Linked DNA regions of Arabidopsis thaliana. The protein of the gene in region 3 interacts with the protein of the main gene of each other region in a pairwise test. Each region holds a gene or a part of one and is shown on either strand. Other genes may lie near its edges.

Region 1 (5,697 bases), on a different chromosome or scaffold from region 3:
ACATTTTTCTACTCCTTTTAATTTCAGTGGGTTAAGTCTTAATGTAGACCAAACCTTTTGCAATTATTAGCTACAAACTCTGAGAATGTCATTAACTTTCGCCAAAAAGTTTCAATGTTTTGTCAAAAAGTTGGGATCTATTTTGGGAAGTATTAATTGGTATGTTTACAAAATTCAAAAGTTAAATTTACCCTACTTTGTGGTTGTAGTTTTAAAAAAAAATGCATAGTAAAAAAAAGTAGTGTTCCGAAAATATATATATAGGTAACATGGAGAAACCCTTAATGGGCACGTAAAGTAGTGCCATGAGGATATAAATTTGAATTGCTAAAAATAGTAGTGATCCAGCGCCAGAAATAGTAAGAGACAAAAAATGTTGAAACCAAAAGTGTGTTAAATGAGTTGTAACAGGACGAAGATAGCGATGAGACAGAGAGCTTAGAGAAAGTGAGAGGACAAGAAGAAGAAGATAAAGAAGAGGAAGACAAGGAACAATGTAGCCCTGTCTCTGTACTTGACCCTCTTGAGGAGGAGGAGGAGGACGAGGACCACCACCAACACGAGCCTGATCCTCCCAATAACCTCTCTTGCAGCTTTGAAATTGTACAACGTGAGTATCCAATCTTCCATCACATCAAATAATGGGCCAAAGTAATTGAATACAAACTGGTCCCGGAGATCGTTTTAAGGGTTTTAATGTTGTATGTTTTGACTAAACAGGGGCTAAAAGGCGGTTACTCAAGAAGCTTCGTAGATTCGAGAAGTTAGCGGGGCTGGATCCTGTGGAGCTTGAAGGGAAAATGTCGGAAGAAGAAGATGAAGAAGAGGAAGAGTATGAGGAGAGCGAGGAAGATGATAACATTAGGATTTACGATTCAGATGAAGAATATGAGGACGTGGATGAAGCGATGGCACGAGAGAGCAGATGCGCGGAAGATGAGAAGAGGAAGAAGAATGATGAGAGGCAAAAGAAGTGGAGGATGATGAATGCATGGAGGGTAGGGTTGGGAGCTGAGGAAGACGTGGACGCGGTGGTGCGGAAAGATTTGAGAGAGGAGGCCGGAGAATGGACAAGACACGGTGGAGAAGTGGAAGAGGCTGTGTCCGATCTCGAGCACTCTATCTTCTTCGTCTTGATTGATGAATTTTCCCGCGAACTTGTCTCTTCTTTTCTATGAACAAATAATGAATTTTGTTAAGAGACACGAGAAAAATTAGTAGATTTTTAGATATCATTGACTTGATAAACCAGAATAACCTTTATAACGTTTACCCTGTGTTTTCTTATCACTTAAAACGCTTCTAGAAAAAGTCACAAGTCACAACGATAAGCGACCATTGGCTTATGCCAAGCTAGTACTAGGAAATTTTATTTTGCTCAAAGCCTTAACCAACTATATATACGCTTCCTTTTTTCCCCCCAAAGCTACTATACGCTTTTTCTTCTTTCCCAAACAACTATACGCTTTAGGTTATTTGATTTGGTTTGGTTTATCTGGTTGATCATTCATACTCCCAAAACAAATTAGATCATGCCTATACAATTTTCATGCCTAATTAAAAAAACTCACATTGAAGGACTAGGAAAGGTACCCACGTCTGAATTGCGTGTTCCTCACGAACGAATGAAATTTCATTTTGATATACGTATTTATTGTTATTTAGTCATACGTATGAACGTAACACGTTACAACAATATATATCTCTACTACATAGTATTATCTTCTGTTTTTATATTACCAACATATTTTTGCTTAAAATCATTGCCTAACATATGTTCTTTTTTATATGGATTGGTTTGTTATACATGATATTATGTCAAATTAGTAATATTATTACTGAAAATACCAATTTACAAACGGATTGATTGATTTGTGTTATTTCAAATGTAAATTTGTTAACAATTTGTTATATAAAAAAACTGCCAAATTATTTTGTTTGTGAATAATGATTTTAGGGTCGGGTTCGGACATTTAAGAATAAGGCTTCACTCGGACTCGGACATGGCTGTCCCCTGACACTTACGTGATACCAACTGATACTTTCTAACATATTATCTATCTTATATAATGTTTATTGGGGGAATACTGTATCACTTTCTTATAACTCTAGAGATAAAACATTAAGAAAAATCTCTACTAGTTCTTCAAAAACAATTCGGAGCGAGAACATGGATGGACCAAGTCATGAACCATGACTATTAATTAAGTCTTCATTGAAAAATCTACATCAAAGTTTTAAATAAATAATATCAAGCTTAAAATGAACCACCTTCCATTATGTGACGATGATGTGGACCAACAAAAGAAATATACCAATCACAAAGACCAGTTTAGTCCCAAAACTACCCCTTATCACTTTTTTATAGATCATTTCCATTAATTTCACACCAATCAAAATGGTGGATGCGGCGGAGCAACCACCTTCTACCTCCGAGGGAGAAAGCCTCCTCAAGATCCACATTGAGAGGATGCATAAGAAGCTGAAGGAACCACCACGGTTGCTCAGTTCGGCCGCCGGGAAACCTACTTGCTCCATCTTCCGGGTACCTCAGAGCATGATTGATTGTAATGGAAGATGCTATGAGCCACGAGTGGTCTCGATTGGACCGTACCACCGTGGCCAAACACAACTCAAAATGATTGAAGAACACAAATGGCGTTACCTAAACGTTCTGCTCACTAGAACCCAAAACCTAACTCTAGAGGATTACATGAAGAGCGTGAAGAACGTTGAGGAAGTGGCGAGAGAATGTTACTCCGAGACAATCCACATGGACTCGGAAGAGTTCAACGAGATGATGGTTCTTGACGGTTGCTTTCTCCTTGAGCTGTTTCGCAAAGTGAACAATCTTGTTCCTTTCGAACCAAACGATCCACTTGTGGCCATGGCTTGGGTTCTTCCTTTCTTCTACAGAGATTTTCTCTGTCTTGAGAATCAAATCCCTTTCTTCGTTCTAGAAACTTTGTTCAATCTCACAAGAGGAGACAACGAAAACGAGACAAACGCTTCTTTACAATCTCTAGCGTTTGCGTTTTTCAACAACATGATGCACAGAACAGAGGAAGATCTCGCCAGGTTCAAAGAGCTAAGAGCCAAACACCTCCTCGACCTCCTCCGGTCAAGTTTCATCCCGGAGAGTGAGCTTCACACGCCGCCGGCAACGAATCCAGGGAAGGAAAAGATGCCGTCCCACATTATCCACAGCATTTCGAAGCTCCGGCGAGCCGGGATCAAACTCCGAGAGCTGAAAGACGCAGAGAGCTTCTTAGTGGTGAGATTCAGACACGGGACCATCGAGATGCCGGCGATCACCGTCGACGATTTCATGAGCAGTTTCTTAGAGAACTGCGTGGCATACGAGCAATGCCACGTGGCGTGCTCAATGCATTTCACGACATACGCGACGCTCCTAGATTGTCTGACGAATACTTACAAGGACGTTGAGTATCTATGCGACCAAAACATCATAGAAAACTATTTCGGAACAGATACAGAGCTGGCGAAATTCGTGAACAGTTTAGGCAGAGATGTGGCGTTCGACATAACACAGTGTTATCTCAAAGACTTGTTTGAAGAAGTGAATGAGTATTACAAGAGTAGTTGGCACGTGGAATGGGCTACTTTCAAATTCACTTACTTTAACTCTCCTTGGTCTTTTGTCTCTGCTCTTGCTGCTCTTGTTCTTTTGGTCTTGTCCGTTATCCAGACTATTTACACTGTTTTCCAGGCTTATCAAAAATAAATTTTTCAACCTTTTCATTATTATATTGCAGTTCAAACAAATGTGTTGATATGATTTAATGAAGTAAAATGAGAATTCGTGTATTTAAAACCCTACTTCTATTATTGAGTAGTACAATTATGTGTTTGTTGGGATTAGTTGTCCAAACATGCATCGATAGTGTTTTTCGAGTAATAAATAAATGATGTTGAGATGTATCATGTATGATATATTTTTTTTCCAGAAAAATTGGTTTACATTATTAAAAGATTATACGAGATGAGATTGTGTATCAAGAGAGTTATAAATATTAATGACAACTATTCTATAATTCAATAAATAAAGGGTTCAATTATTAGCAAAAATACGTGTTTGTTTGATAGGTTGACTGCAGGAATTGGTCAATTTAGTAGAAATGTCAACGATCCTCAATGTTTCAGTCAACGAACAGCTCATGCTTCATAAATCAAAGTGAATAGTAAAACCCTGGACTTTTGGTAATTTCCTGTAACTAACATAATAACATTTGACACATATTTTATTTCCATATCTGGAACTTTCTGACCAAATATTTAGTACTTTTACATAATCAATGCATAAAAATAAAAAAATTGATTCGGTGCTTCATTCTAAATATTGAATTAAAGAATGCAATCTTGTCGTGATAATGTGTTAACGTAAATCTATCTATCAGGACTAATTTCCCTCTGCTATGAACGTTAAAAACTTTGTTTAGACAAATGATTTATTTTGAATATTAATATATAGAAATCATCCATAAAAATGATCAAACATGCGAAGAGGGGAATCCGAGTATGAGTACTGAAGACTTTTCCCACGACTCTCGAAATAACTATGTTTGAGTTTCTTTTTACCAAGTCTCTCGAAAAAGACTCGGTCGTAATTTCTTCTTCTTCAAATAATGTCTTAACTTAAGCAAGCCGCAATGCATATATAAACACACAATCCAATACACATTTTTCAAGAAACATACATAAATTCCACAACTACACACAATCCAAATATACTTTTGATATTCTCCTTCATCTTAAATATCGTTTCCAAGCTCGTCATTTTGTGAAATCATTCTCGTTTTTACACGAACGCAATAATGAGCGGCAAAACATCGATCACTAGCAGGTCAGACGAATTTCAAAGGCAGATAGATCATAAAGAGATGCCTCGAGATCACCAAATTGAAAGGCACACTCATATTCACACGACGCGTTACCGAGGGGGCAGTCTAGTTGAGGAGGTCATCGAGAAGCTTGAGAGATTCAAAGTACGTACGGTTAACATCTTGGTGGGAGGAGAAGATGACGAACAGAAGAAATAAAACAATTACCAAATATTCAAATTCATTCATTCATTCATTTCTAACCAACAAGACTATTTACCTATTCATTGGTCTTCTTTTTATTTTGAAGCTATTTAAAAGGTGAAATAGTGTTTTAATGGGTTGTATGGGTTACGAAGGCTGCAAGTTTTTTCTTTCTTTTTTTCTTTTTTATAGTTTTAAATACCCAAATAGTTCAAATGTATGTAATATGCATGAATGCATCAATTTCTTTCATACGTATGAAAATGTTACCCTTAAATAACCTGTTGGAACTTGGAACATATGTAATTTTGATGTACAAATTCGGATGATTTGCTTTGTTTTCAAGCATCTTTATAGTTCAGAATAAATTCAAAACTCTAAAGTTTTGATTTAACTAGAATGCAAAATATATTCATTTATAATATTTAAAAACTGTAACCTAAAAGAAAAGTTATTTTTGGTTCGGTTTCGCATTTACAACTTCCAAATCATATTTGATCAAATAGAAAAATGTTTCATAAACATAACCATTTAAATGATGATAATAAAGTAAAAAATAGGTACATATGTCTCAAAAAGACACATATATATGAGTAATCAAATTAAAAGGTAAAATACATATTGAAAAAAATCAGCAAGCTTATGATTCGAC
Region 2 (5,724 bases), on a different chromosome or scaffold from region 3:
CTGCAGGTTTATAATATCTGCCTGAATATGAAAATCTTCATATACGGCATTAGAAAATGAAAGTAGGCCACACATTTCTTTCTGAAAAAGATGATGAGACATCAAAACTTATAAAACACCAATTCAAAAAAATAATCGAAACTTCACCTAAGAAACTAAACCCAAGTAAGAACCCATTTTCGCAAAAGAGAAGGAGGAGATATTGTAAGAACTCTTTAAAGCAAAAACAGAGCATTGTAATAGAAACAATCAAACCAAGTAAAAACAGAATTTTACATGAGAGATCATCACATTACATTCCCGTCAGATGTAAGATCACACACATACATACACACACAAGACAGAGAAAACGTTGATGATCACGAATTATGAAGACCCATTAGACAAAACAGGACAAAAAACTCGCATTTACAGGGATAATCATAAGGGGAAAATTGAGAAAAACCTTCTCTTTATTCTCGGGAAGTGCAGAGGAAAACAAAATTACCTTGTGGAAGCAACACCGATTAAAGAAATTGGGGAACATGGGAATGGAATGGATCCAAAGAGAAGAAAACGAAACAAGAGATCCCAAAAATGGAATCGGAAAACGAAAGGATTCAACGCCTTCTTCTGGGAAATCAAAGACACGCAGTAACTCTGGCAGAGAGAGAGAGAAAGAAAGAGACCGGAGTTTTTCCATTTCGGTTCGGATTGGTAATAATGGGCTCAGCAAAAATAAAACATCTTGGGCCCTTATGGACCCTCTTACCCTATTTTACCATAGGCTCTACTTTTTTTTACCACCTTTGTTTTAGTTTCACTTAAAATTTTAGTTAAGGAAAAAAAAGTTACCGATTATGTACACTCTACTGTTATTTATTAGACACAACAAAACTTTCAAATATGATGGATTTTCCATCCTATTTTATTTATAAAAGAAAATATTTATATTTCTAACATCAACAAACTCTACCCAAATCAGATTATCCTTCTGAAACTATGCAATTTGTATTGTTTTTCAGGAAACTAGTGATTTTTTGAATAATTGTAATACTTTTCATTCATCAAAAAAACATATTATATCTTTCCTTTTTTTCCATCAAAAACATATTATATCTAAATATCTCATTTTGGGTTGTTTTTTGATAATTAACACTTAAGCCCATATAAAAGAGTCTAGTTCAAACTGAGCCCAGCTACACCAAAGAATCTAGTGGGGGACATGTGGCAGGTAGTAATTTGAGCGTTGACCAAGAAAGGACATTATTATACATCCACCTGGTTAGAGCATGCTTATAGGTGATATTCTCAAAGTATCATTAAAAAAATTTTAGTATTATTTATAATGTTTGTTTAATAGATAAATATTTTTTTTCTTACTTTTAATAAATGCTACCAATCAGGAGATGTCACGTAGATGATACTGATATCAAGAAAATCACTGGAATGATACTAATCAAACTCATTCTAATTGTTTGGTTAATAAAAAAATAATTTTTACACTGATGATATTCTAAAAATATCACTCATGTACATGGTCTTAACCGTTGAAATGTTGGTCGCGGCCTATATATAGAAGAACATAACTCTAAAAATAGCTAAACCCAACCACTTCCCTTGGATTGGAATCTCTCATAAACAGTTTGTTGGTCTGGTCCGCTCCAGTCCATACTCATAAGGTGGTAGATGTTTACTTAGGGTACATCATACATGCACAACGTTAGTAGTTGCAGGCATAGACGTGTTTGCCCTTTATTACGCGAAAACCACTACTCCCTTCGCTAGTCTACTTTCGTCAATTGAACCACTAAACCCAATGAAACCTAATATTTTAGTGTGCTCAATAATTTATCATCATCCCAATTCCCAAGCGTACCAAGATTATAATCTAACTTAACGCGCAATGTCATGACAAAACCTATATACAATGAAAAAGATTTTTCATGACAAACAAAGAAAAAATAAACACGAGAAATGAGTTCTCGTAATAAAGTTGGTGTGAACTGGTTTTTGAACGTGAAGATGACCCCTTCATATTTTTATTTCTTGGTTTTTGCTTGAGAGGGTTAAAGACTCTTAAGGAAGAAATACATTACACGTCAAACCTTTTTGGGAAAACAATGAACGCTTCATTTATAATGTTTCTATTTTTTACTCTTAGGTAAAACATTGCAATTGATAGATGAACAAGAACAAAAGCAGAGGATTAAAAGAAAGATTAAACTATGAAAAAAGGACACGTGTGAAGAGAATTAGAGATTCTGTATTAAGACAGATTAACTAACAAACCAAACCCTACTTGTTCCACTTTCTATTCATACTTAATCTCATTCTCCTCTCTTCCCCTTCATACTTAAATCTTATCATTCATCCATCTTTTAATCATTACTCGAGATTCTGTTTCCATGGCCATATCCTCAAATCTTCTCCTTTGTCTCTCTCTTTTCATTTTCATCATCACCAAATCCGCCTTGGCTCAGAAATGTTCCAACTACAAATTCTCCACCAACCGTCTCTTTGAGTCTTGCAACGACCTACCTGTTCTTGATTCCTTCCTCCACTACACTTACGATTCTTCTTCAGGCAATCTCCAAATCGCGTATCGCCACACAAAGCTCACCCCCGGGAAATGGGTGGCATGGGCCGTGAATCCCACATCTACTGGCATGGTCGGAGCTCAAGCCATTGTGGCTTATCCACAATCAGACGGCACCGTTAGGGCTTATACGTCACCCATCAGTAGCTACCAAACGAGTCTCCTAGAAGCTGAGCTGAGTTTCAACGTCTCTCAGTTGTCTGCCACTTACCAAAACAACGAGATGGTCATCTACGCAATTCTGAATCTTCCACTTGCGAATGGTGGAATCATTAACACTGTGTGGCAAGATGGGTCACTGTCAGGGAACAATCCTCTGCCTCATCCAACTTCTGGCAACAATGTTCGTTCTGTTTCTACTCTTAACCTTGTCTCTGGTGCATCTGGATCCACCTCTACCGGAGCAGGAGGAGCTTCCAAGCTACGCAAACGCAACGTGAGTCCATGGTTTTATCAATTTCTTCATTTCATGTTTTTTAGGAATCTCACATATGAAATGAGATTTATCAATCCCATCATTGTTAGTTGGTTTTATGAAACTTATCACTCCTAATCATTATTGCAGATACATGGAATATTGAACGGTGTGAGCTGGGGTATAATGATGCCAATAGGAGCAATCATTGCTCGCTACTTGAAAGTCTCAAAATCAGCAGATCCTGCTTGGTTCTACCTTCATGTTTTCTGCCAGTCTTCTGCTTACATCATTGGTGTTGCCGGTTGGGCGACCGGTCTCAAACTGGGCAACGAATCAGCCGGGATTCAGTTTACCTTTCACCGTGCTGTTGGGATCGCTCTCTTCTGCCTCGCAACAATTCAGGTAGGTTTTAGTTAACAGTACAGAGAGTATTACACTTGTCATGAATATGTTGCAATTACTAAGTTGCTTGTTTCACACGTTAGGTGTTTGCAATGTTTTTGAGACCCAAACCAGAGCACAAGTACAGAGTCTACTGGAACATTTATCACCACACTGTAGGCTATTCAGTGATCATTCTTGCGGTGGTAAACGTTTTTAAAGGACTAGACATCCTGAGCCCTGAGAAGCAGTGGAGAAACGCTTACACCGCCATAATCGTAGTACTAGGTATAGTCGCGGTTGTGCTCGAAGGGTTTACTTGGTATGTAGTCATAAAGAGAGGGAAAGCAGAGGCATCTGCGAAAACAAGTCAACGAGTAGGCAACGATGGTCGGTCTCTATACGTGTAGACTCTGTAAAGATTAGAGTAAAATGTTCTGGTTTATTTGGTCATTATGGGCTTGTGGTTGTTAATTTTTGTTTGTTTTCGAGATTAAGTTAATACATTTGATGTTTAATAGTTGTTGAAGTTGAAAGACTCTTGTGCTCTTTTACAACATTCATGATGTGAGCTTTTGACAAACCATTTTATTTCATCGACAGTGAAGTAGTGTACATATGAATACATATATCGAATAGATATCTCGTATGTGTATGTGTGTGTGTGTGTGTGTGTGTGTGTGTGTGTGTGGTGAGAAAGTGAGAGGAAGATTGGTTACCTAATGTAAAAAAACAACAAGATGCTTCAAAAATGTCTTTTCGAGTGTTTTAAAAGGGAAGGAAGGATGAATTGCATTAGTTGGTTCAAGCAAGATCTCGAGGTTCAAGGGCTGCGATTTCTCTCAAAACCTGACTTTTGTCTGCTTCAAACCTCTCATCCTCTGTCAACCAAATGAACCAAACAATGCTTTAATAAGGTTAAGGAGCAGAAGGATCGGATACAAGCGTTTCACTTAACAAGATTAGTTTCATACCTTTGTCTGGTTTCAAATCAGCCAACAATCTCAGAAGCTTGCTTCTGTTGGCCACCAGAATGTTGACTATATCCGCAGGCTTGTTTTGGTTCGCTGCAAACAGCTGCACAACAGTGACGATAATCTCAGTACAATCACGTTGGACTGACAAGTGACAATCATCATTATGTTACATCTCGTTAATGTAGGTACCTTAAAGACATGGAATGCTTCTATTTGGATACTCTTGCTTGACTCCTGTAATTCAAGCGATTGAGTTTATTTCCCAAACTATTATAATCAAGAACAAAAAAACGGAGAGTAAAGCATCGTACTCTTAGAAGATTCATGAGAATCCTCAAGTTATCCCTCGAGCTCACATATTTCGTCATCACAGCTGAATTTGATCGATCCAATAATATATCACCCAACAACTGTTTAACATTTACACCATACAGTACATAAGATTGATCAGCCAGTACCATCATTTCAATGTTTTAGATTCTTGTATAAGTTAGCCTACCTTAATAGCTTGCCGTCTGGTTATATAATTACTTGATTCAAGAAGCTTTGAGTTGTAGTCTGCGAAAAACTGCAAACCAAAAAGTTTGAGATTATTATACGACTTGAACGCAGGACCTGCAGAGGATAAATTACAATGTTCTGTCTTCAAGCATATATCATAGTGCATTGTTGCTACATAACTTACCCAGTCTTCATTCTTGGTGAGAAACTCGGCAACAGTAGACTTATGCCTTGTCAGCAGTTCCTGTGAAAATAAATGACAGGTTTGGAGTTATGATTGCATGTTTACTAGTCCCAGACAGGGAAAGATCCAAGCTAAAAATGCGAGTTTTGTTTTGGAACCTTAAAAGTAGCAGCAGCATCGGCAGCAATGTCGAAATTTGGAAGCTGTATGTAATCAAAGAATTTCTTCACATGGTCAGACTCCAAAACATATCTGAATCCAAAGAAATTAAGTTAGTAAACACATTTTCCGTTATTCTCTGAATCCATAATTACTCCATAGGTCGTAAAATGAAGAAAATGAAACGATTGGCTCACTTAGCCACAATCTGATGACGGATACACTCCCTAAACATAGCACCATAGTGTAAAGCCATGTCTGTGTTCTCGAAGCTGACACAAAACATGGAAAGCTATAAAAATGATAAAATGTGGTATCTCTTAATTTGGAAAAACTACCAACTAATAACTTCAATGATAGTAACACACAAGACTCACCCTTCAATCAAAACATCCATGAGATCAATGTTGGCTTCTAAATAATCAGAAGCAATCAACCGTGAATTAACCTGTTGCCTCTGTAGATTTGCAACAACTTGTGTAGCATCTTTCCTCGTCTAATTAAAAAAAAAGGACAGATTTTTCGC
Region 3 (6,209 bases):
TCTCCATATCTCTCTATTCGTCTTCGAAGGAAAGAATCTAAAACCACCATTCAAAACTCAAAAAGTGAGCAATAAGGTTCTAGTTCCAAACTTGTTCTCAAAACTAGGAAAATTTCCCATAAGACTTACCTGAATCCTGGGATATAAACGCTCCATCGAACCAGATAAAAAAGACGCATCATACGCTCCTGCAATTCAAAGATTCCTTTCCCTTCTTCCACGCTGTTCCCAAAAGCTGTTCTTGATAACATTTCTGCAGACAAATTGTGCATCTCTTTGTGTACCTCTAACTCAATCTCTTCTCCTCCGTTTCTCATATCTTCCCACTTCTCCATCAACATCATAGTACTTGTTACCATTTGTGGCACCCACCTCTATAAAAGAAAAAAAGATCTTAGCTTTAGCCACAATCCTATAAAGCACTCCGGATTTGGTAATTTTTAAACTAAACTAGACTGAGATTCCAAATAGCACAATGTTGTCTGAATTACAGATCTTAGCTTCTACATTGATGTGTGTTAGTGTTACCTTGAGTTTCTCCATTGTAAAAGCTTGTTTGGCGATTCTTCTATGGAAAGCCCATTGATCACCTCTAAGACCAGGAAGACCTTGAGCATAAAGCAGCTTAGACAAAGGGTTATGCCCAATTCGGTCAAACGACCCACCCGTCGTCAAAGCTTCCCGGATTAGTCTTGGATCCGACGTAGCCACCACAGGTTTCGACCCGAACCAGTAGAGGAACGTCTTCCCGTAGACACGTGACCATTCGTGGTAGTGAGGCGCCACACGGTGGACGAACTCATGAGGATTTCTCCCGGAAGGAATCGGCTTTGACTTCGCCTCCGCCGTTAGCCGGCTAACCTCGCCGGAGTTTCCACTGAATATCCGGTAACTAGGACCCGTCACGCTCTGCTTCTTGAAGTGAGATTGGATTCTCCACGGAACCCATATATTACTGTAGATGAATCTGAAGACAAGGAAGAAAAAGACCAAGACCAAGATGAAGAACACTGCCATATCTTGACGTGTTAACCTCAAGTCTCTCTCTGGTTCAGTTTCATTTATTTGATCTTGAATTTTTTTTAATCTGTTCTTAATCTTGAGATTGTGAAAATTACAGTTAAGAAGCATTAAACTAACAATAAGTGACCGGAGAAGAAACAAAGCAACCGGTAAAAATTTTATTTCTTCGCCGGAGTTTTACACATTAGAAAATTTTCAAGCGTTGACCGGTAAAAAAAGAACATAACGAACTATGAAAAAAAAAGGAACTAACTTTCGTCGTCTAAAGCTTTGTTATTACCAAACAAACTCTCTCTTCTTTTACCAAATCCGCCAGAATCAAGACCTGACCCACCACGATACTTCATCTCCTGTGCGGTTGTTCTGTAGTTAGTAGTTTCCACTGGAGCTCTTGAGCTCGGGTCGTTAGACCCTACTGAACGGTAAGCACCTGTTGCTGCTCCAGGAGGATACCGAGATGGCGAAACGTATCTTCTCCGAAGATCCATGTGGTCGTCGTTTCTCCTAGTTGATTCAGAGAATGCGGAACTATTTTGTGCAGTTGTTGTAGAAGAAGAAGACATTGTCGTGGAGGAGAAAGGATCGTCAGGTCCCCAAGCTGTGAGAGATTCTTTCTTCTTAGAGAAAAAATGCCAAGCGCCGAATAAGAAAAGTATGAAGAAGAAGACAGGACTGCTCCAAAGCATTGTGTTGAATTCTGCTTTGGAGATTGGAAGCTTTGATTTGTATGTAGCTACGTATCCGTCTCCTAAACCCATCACAAGCAGCTTTTCGCGGTCGCTTGCTATTAAAGGAGTTACCTTTTCTAGCTTCTGGTGATCTGTGGTTTTAGTTGATTCTCGATGGCTCAAGAACGTTGACCTGATATCTTCTAATGCAGCCGGAAAAAGAAGCCGAGGACCCGTGGTTCGGACGTAGTGTTGAGTCGATACATTGTATACAAAGACTTTCTCTTGGTTGACTATAAGTAGATAGCCTTTGATGGCTTGTAACGCTACAGGCTCCTCCATTTGTACCTTCTTCTTTGATCTCACTCTACATTTGAAGTTCATAATGTCTCCGAGAAGCAACACGTGAATGATTTCGCCTTCGGATGTGAATCCATAAGCTTTAGCCCGTTCGGACGCATCAAAAACATAACTTCTTGCTAGAGAATGGTTAAGACCTTCACACTCAGATTCCCTGATCTTCATGCTTCTTAAGTCCAATGAACCAGCACCAGTCTCAGTGAGAAACAAAAGCCTCTGCTTCAAGAACACAAGCGGTCTACTCGTTGGGCTAACAGAGCCATAAACCGTTCTGTTCTCAGTGAAAACCGTAAGCTTTCCGCTAAGATCTGTCGCCAATATATACCTAACCCGACCCACATGATGCACTTCCAATAGAGTCACTTGCAAACCATCCTCCGTGCCATCAAACTTGCCAACATTTTCCATCACAGCGGAATTCAAATCTTCCCCGATCGAGCCCTCTCGGAGTCTATGCAACAAGATGACTCCGCTTTGGTGTCCCGTCACCACAAAGCTCTCATTCTTATACACAGACATGTAAGACACCATTGCCGTGATTGGTGAATCGCAGGTGGTGAAAAACTCAACCAAAACATCGCCATTTCTCAAGAAGACAAAAACCCTACCACTTGAATCTCCAACTGCGAAATACTTGCTTAAACCTTCGTGATCTCGAAACGGTAACACGTTGATACAAGTCGCTTCAGAGTCTAATTTCACAGCTGATGTGAATTCGAATCTCTCAGACCAGAAAGGACTATACTTTGTAACGGAAAAAGCCTTAGCTTTCTCTTCGATCTCATCACGAGTGATCTCTTTCTTTACCTTAAACGGAGTTTCAGATAACTTAGCGTCTAATCTAGCAACTAGTTCCGTAAGATTCCTAACGAGTTCCTCAAGTCTATGCAATGAAACACCTTGCCTGTCGGATTCACTGCTGGTCACTACTCCAGGAGAAGCATCTGAGTTCTCGTACGGAATCGGATCGGACTCGGAAGCGGTGACATCCGAATAAGACGGCGAAAGGAAAAGCAAAATAAGCGAGACAAAGAAGAAGAAAAATGCGGACTTGCCGTTTTGAGAATCCGCCATTCAAGATGGTAAGAAAAGAAGCAGAAAGGTCTCCCTTTTATTTTCCTGAAGTCAATCAGTAACCGCCATTTATGCAGATCTACAGGAGATGGAGAAATTCGGATCTGGAAGGAAGACGATTTATCCGGTCAGAATCTATCTGAGATTTTCTTTTGTAAGTCAAACAACGTTGAGCTAAGAGTAATAAAATAAAGTTGTCTGATTTGAGATCTTTTTGTGTCCGAAACTCTATAGTCTCTGGTCTTCTTCTTCAGTCTCAACGAAGCTTAAGGGGAAGAAAGGAGATATATCCTTACGATTTTAATCTTTGGGATGAAAGAAAAGTCACCAGGTTAAGATATTTATTCAGTAAATTACAACATGTGATAAAAACTGTTTGCTTTAATGGATGTTAGTTGAATGATTCTTGAATAGAATCCTATCCATTATAAAGAAATAGTATAGTGTAGACATTGAATATATAAAACAAAACTTTGAATAGAAAATTCTGATCTCAATCTCTAAGAAAAGATTCGAATGACTAAGACGGACGATCTAATCTCTCGCTAAAGTCTCTGTAGTTACAGCAACCAACCTATGTACTTGAGAATCGAGACTGAGTCTGATCAGATAAAGGCCAAAACGCGCGGTCCTACGCCGTTTTGGTGGCCACATGTTAACAAAAAGGGTCACGATCCAGTGATTCACGTTCATTCACCACACGTGCCGTTGCATTGCAACTGTGCAAGACAAAATCTCTGAATTCATCTCTTTTCCTGTTAAATATTCCATTTTACTTGGAGAAATGGAGATCTGATTATACAAGAATAACATTCAATTAGAGGAAGAGGGAGTTTACTTGTGGATTTGTCTTAACTGGTTTCTTATCCAGTTTGAAAGCAGCAAATATAGACTCAGTGTGGTTGCTGCTTATCATTGTCTCGCGTGAATTGAAGGAAGTTTTCTTTGATGACATCTTTAGAATCTCGTACAAGGTTGATCGTTGCCTCGTGCTCGTCTCCTTCTCCACCACCGTCGCCTGTAATGTTGTTGATCTCTCTTGTGACTGTGAGGCAGTGAATTTTGCTGGAGCTCTTTTTGGTCGGCTTTTTTCTTGAATAATCTGCATAGGTTATTAAGAAGGTATTTAAATATGTGTACCAGAAATGTGTATGTTTATATAGGGAAGAGCTTTACCGTCTCTGGAACTGAAGGTTCCTCTGCCACTGAATTTGAGCTTTTGCTGTTACTGTCATCGCGTTCGAATATATAGCCACGTACAACATTTGAACCGCGCTTGCGAGATCCTTCTGATATGGAACTCTTTGTAAGTCTACCCAAGAACGATGACTGCAAAAGATTCACGGCATTAGTAAAGTTGCAATTCATTGTCCTATTTTTAAGAAGTCTCAAAGTGTGACCTATCTAGTATCTACGAACTTTATTGGTATACGAAAGTAACTGAAGAAGGCTTATACCTTGGATGCTGCAGGGTTTTTGTTTATTTCCATGAGTGCCCTCTCTTTAAAAGCTGAAAACAATTTAAACAAAATGGTTAGAAGCAATCAGCAATGTGTGTATAAACTCAGCTGATGATTACAAATACAGGGAGAAACTTGGGTGGTATCTTACAAGAAGGTTTTGCTTTCTTCTTGATCTCAGGCTTCTTGATGTGGCGAAGAATTTCTTCAGAGTTTTCATCCGCAGTGGATGATGAAGACTTGGCCTTTAGCTCCTGTTCCAAACAACAATGATCCATATTAATGGGGCAGCACAAGCGAAACATCAAACAAGCTTTTCAATCTTTACTATATAGAGAGGTATGGTGGATCAAATGATAAAATATGGAGCAGACAGGGCTATTGAACCGGGATCACTTACCATTTTCTTGTACAGTCGCTGTTGCAGAAGCTTCTTTTCCATTTCCTCATCGTCTGATGACACATAAACATCATCTTCATCTGTGAACATTAAAGGGATCATTTCCTTTATTTTCTTTATGGTCATTCGCATGGAATTTGCATGACTTGGATCTTCTTCATCTTCATCTTCATCTTCATCTTCATTGGCTTCAGGTTTTTGCACTTCTTCACCATCAGCACCTTCAGGCCTCTCTTCATCATCATCATCAACATCGTCATCTTCATCTTCAGACAATAATGTTTCATCATGCTGCACACCACGTTTAAGCTTCTGTAAGAGTTTCTCTGTCCCTGCAGCATCTTGTTGCTCGAGCCACTTCTGATGCAGTTCATTACGTCTATCTTTATCAGTTGGATCTTCCTTAAATTGACTGACAATCATATCCCTGAGATCATCATCGTCTTCATCTTCGTCATCATCCTCATCCTCAAATCGGAGTAAATCATTGTCACTGTCATCTTCCTCTTCAGCATCCTCATCAATAAATTTTCTAACAGGGTCGCCAGGAGAATCATGGATCTCCGGATCAGAATTTCCCTTTATGTACTCTGCTTCTTCGGAAGATCTGCAGATGTGGATTAGTTATTGCATGGAAAGCAAAGTATACACAGTATAACTTAACATTACAGAAACAATTGGCTCTTCTGGTCATATCACAGAACACAAGCTATTCATATACTGAAAGTAACATCTGTCCATAATATTCTTATGAACATGTAAAGACTGCGTTTTGAGAAGCTTGCCAATATTAGATAGACGAGCAAATCAAAGTTATAGTCAATTCAGTTTTCGCATGTAACCACATCTAAAGATAGACTCACTTGTCAGGCACAGGAGACAGGTTTAGTTTGAGGTTCATGGCAACTACCGACGGTGTCATTACTTCTTCCAAAGATCTGCTTGACATCTTCTCAAGAAGTTCATCTCCAGAGTTAATCGTTTGTGGACACACGGATGGATCCTAACCAAAAAAGGAAAAAAACTGAGAGAGTCAGCTTGAAACCTGAATTTACAAACTAGCCTTTGAACCACAGCATAAATTTAGCATTTGTAACGTGGAAACGAAATGAGCCATTCAAATTATCTGCAGATGGGGTTAACATAATGGAAATGTAGGTATATATAGTTACAGGTTTTAATCTTCAAATGTTTGAACTTTATACTAAGTCTGGACTCTCGAGA

Evidence for each region. Proteins that work in one complex are often made in the same cells at the same time.
Region 1: the proteins of AT1G75140 (region 3) and AT2G36430 interact in a protein complementation assay, tested with the Arabidopsis thaliana proteins (one large-scale study listed by BioGRID).
Region 2: the proteins of AT1G75140 (region 3) and AT5G47530 interact in a protein complementation assay, tested with the Arabidopsis thaliana proteins (one large-scale study listed by BioGRID).

What each region holds. Positions count from the first base shown.
Region 1 is NC_003071.7:15,287,813-15,293,509, forward strand, and holds AT2G36430 (transmembrane protein, putative (DUF247)), read left to right. Parts: upstream 1-2,162; 5' UTR 2,163-2,398; coding exon 2,399-3,745; 3' UTR 3,746-3,951; downstream 3,952-5,697. Other genes in the region: TRM27 (nucleolin-like protein), read left to right, coding at 412-610, 721-1,178; AT2G36440 (uncharacterized protein), read left to right, coding at 4,836-5,060.
Region 2 is NC_003076.8:19,279,084-19,284,807, forward strand, and holds AT5G47530 (Auxin-responsive family protein), read left to right. Parts: upstream 1-2,290; 5' UTR 2,291-2,387; coding exon 2,388-3,014; intron 3,015-3,143; coding exon 3,144-3,398; intron 3,399-3,481; coding exon 3,482-3,787; 3' UTR 3,788-3,978; downstream 3,979-5,724. Other genes in the region: AT5G47540 (Mo25 family protein), read right to left, coding at 4,182-4,258, 4,352-4,454, 4,544-4,588, 4,666-4,764, 4,854-4,922, 5,040-5,099, 5,198-5,291, 5,396-5,470 and 1 more. UniProt on the Arabidopsis thaliana protein: May act as a catecholamine-responsive trans-membrane electron transporter.
Region 3 is NC_003070.9:28,200,895-28,207,103, forward strand, and holds AT1G75140 (uncharacterized protein), read right to left. Parts: upstream 3,469-6,209; 5' UTR 3,126-3,468; coding exon 1,272-3,125; 3' UTR 1,159-1,271; downstream 1-1,158. Other genes in the region: CYP721A1 (cytochrome P450, family 721, subfamily A, polypeptide 1), read right to left, coding at 1-37, 130-374, 529-1,017; AT1G75150 (DNA ligase-like protein), read right to left, coding at 3,815-3,844, 3,964-4,227, 4,302-4,454, 4,583-4,635, 4,737-4,839, 4,986-5,592, 5,849-5,988.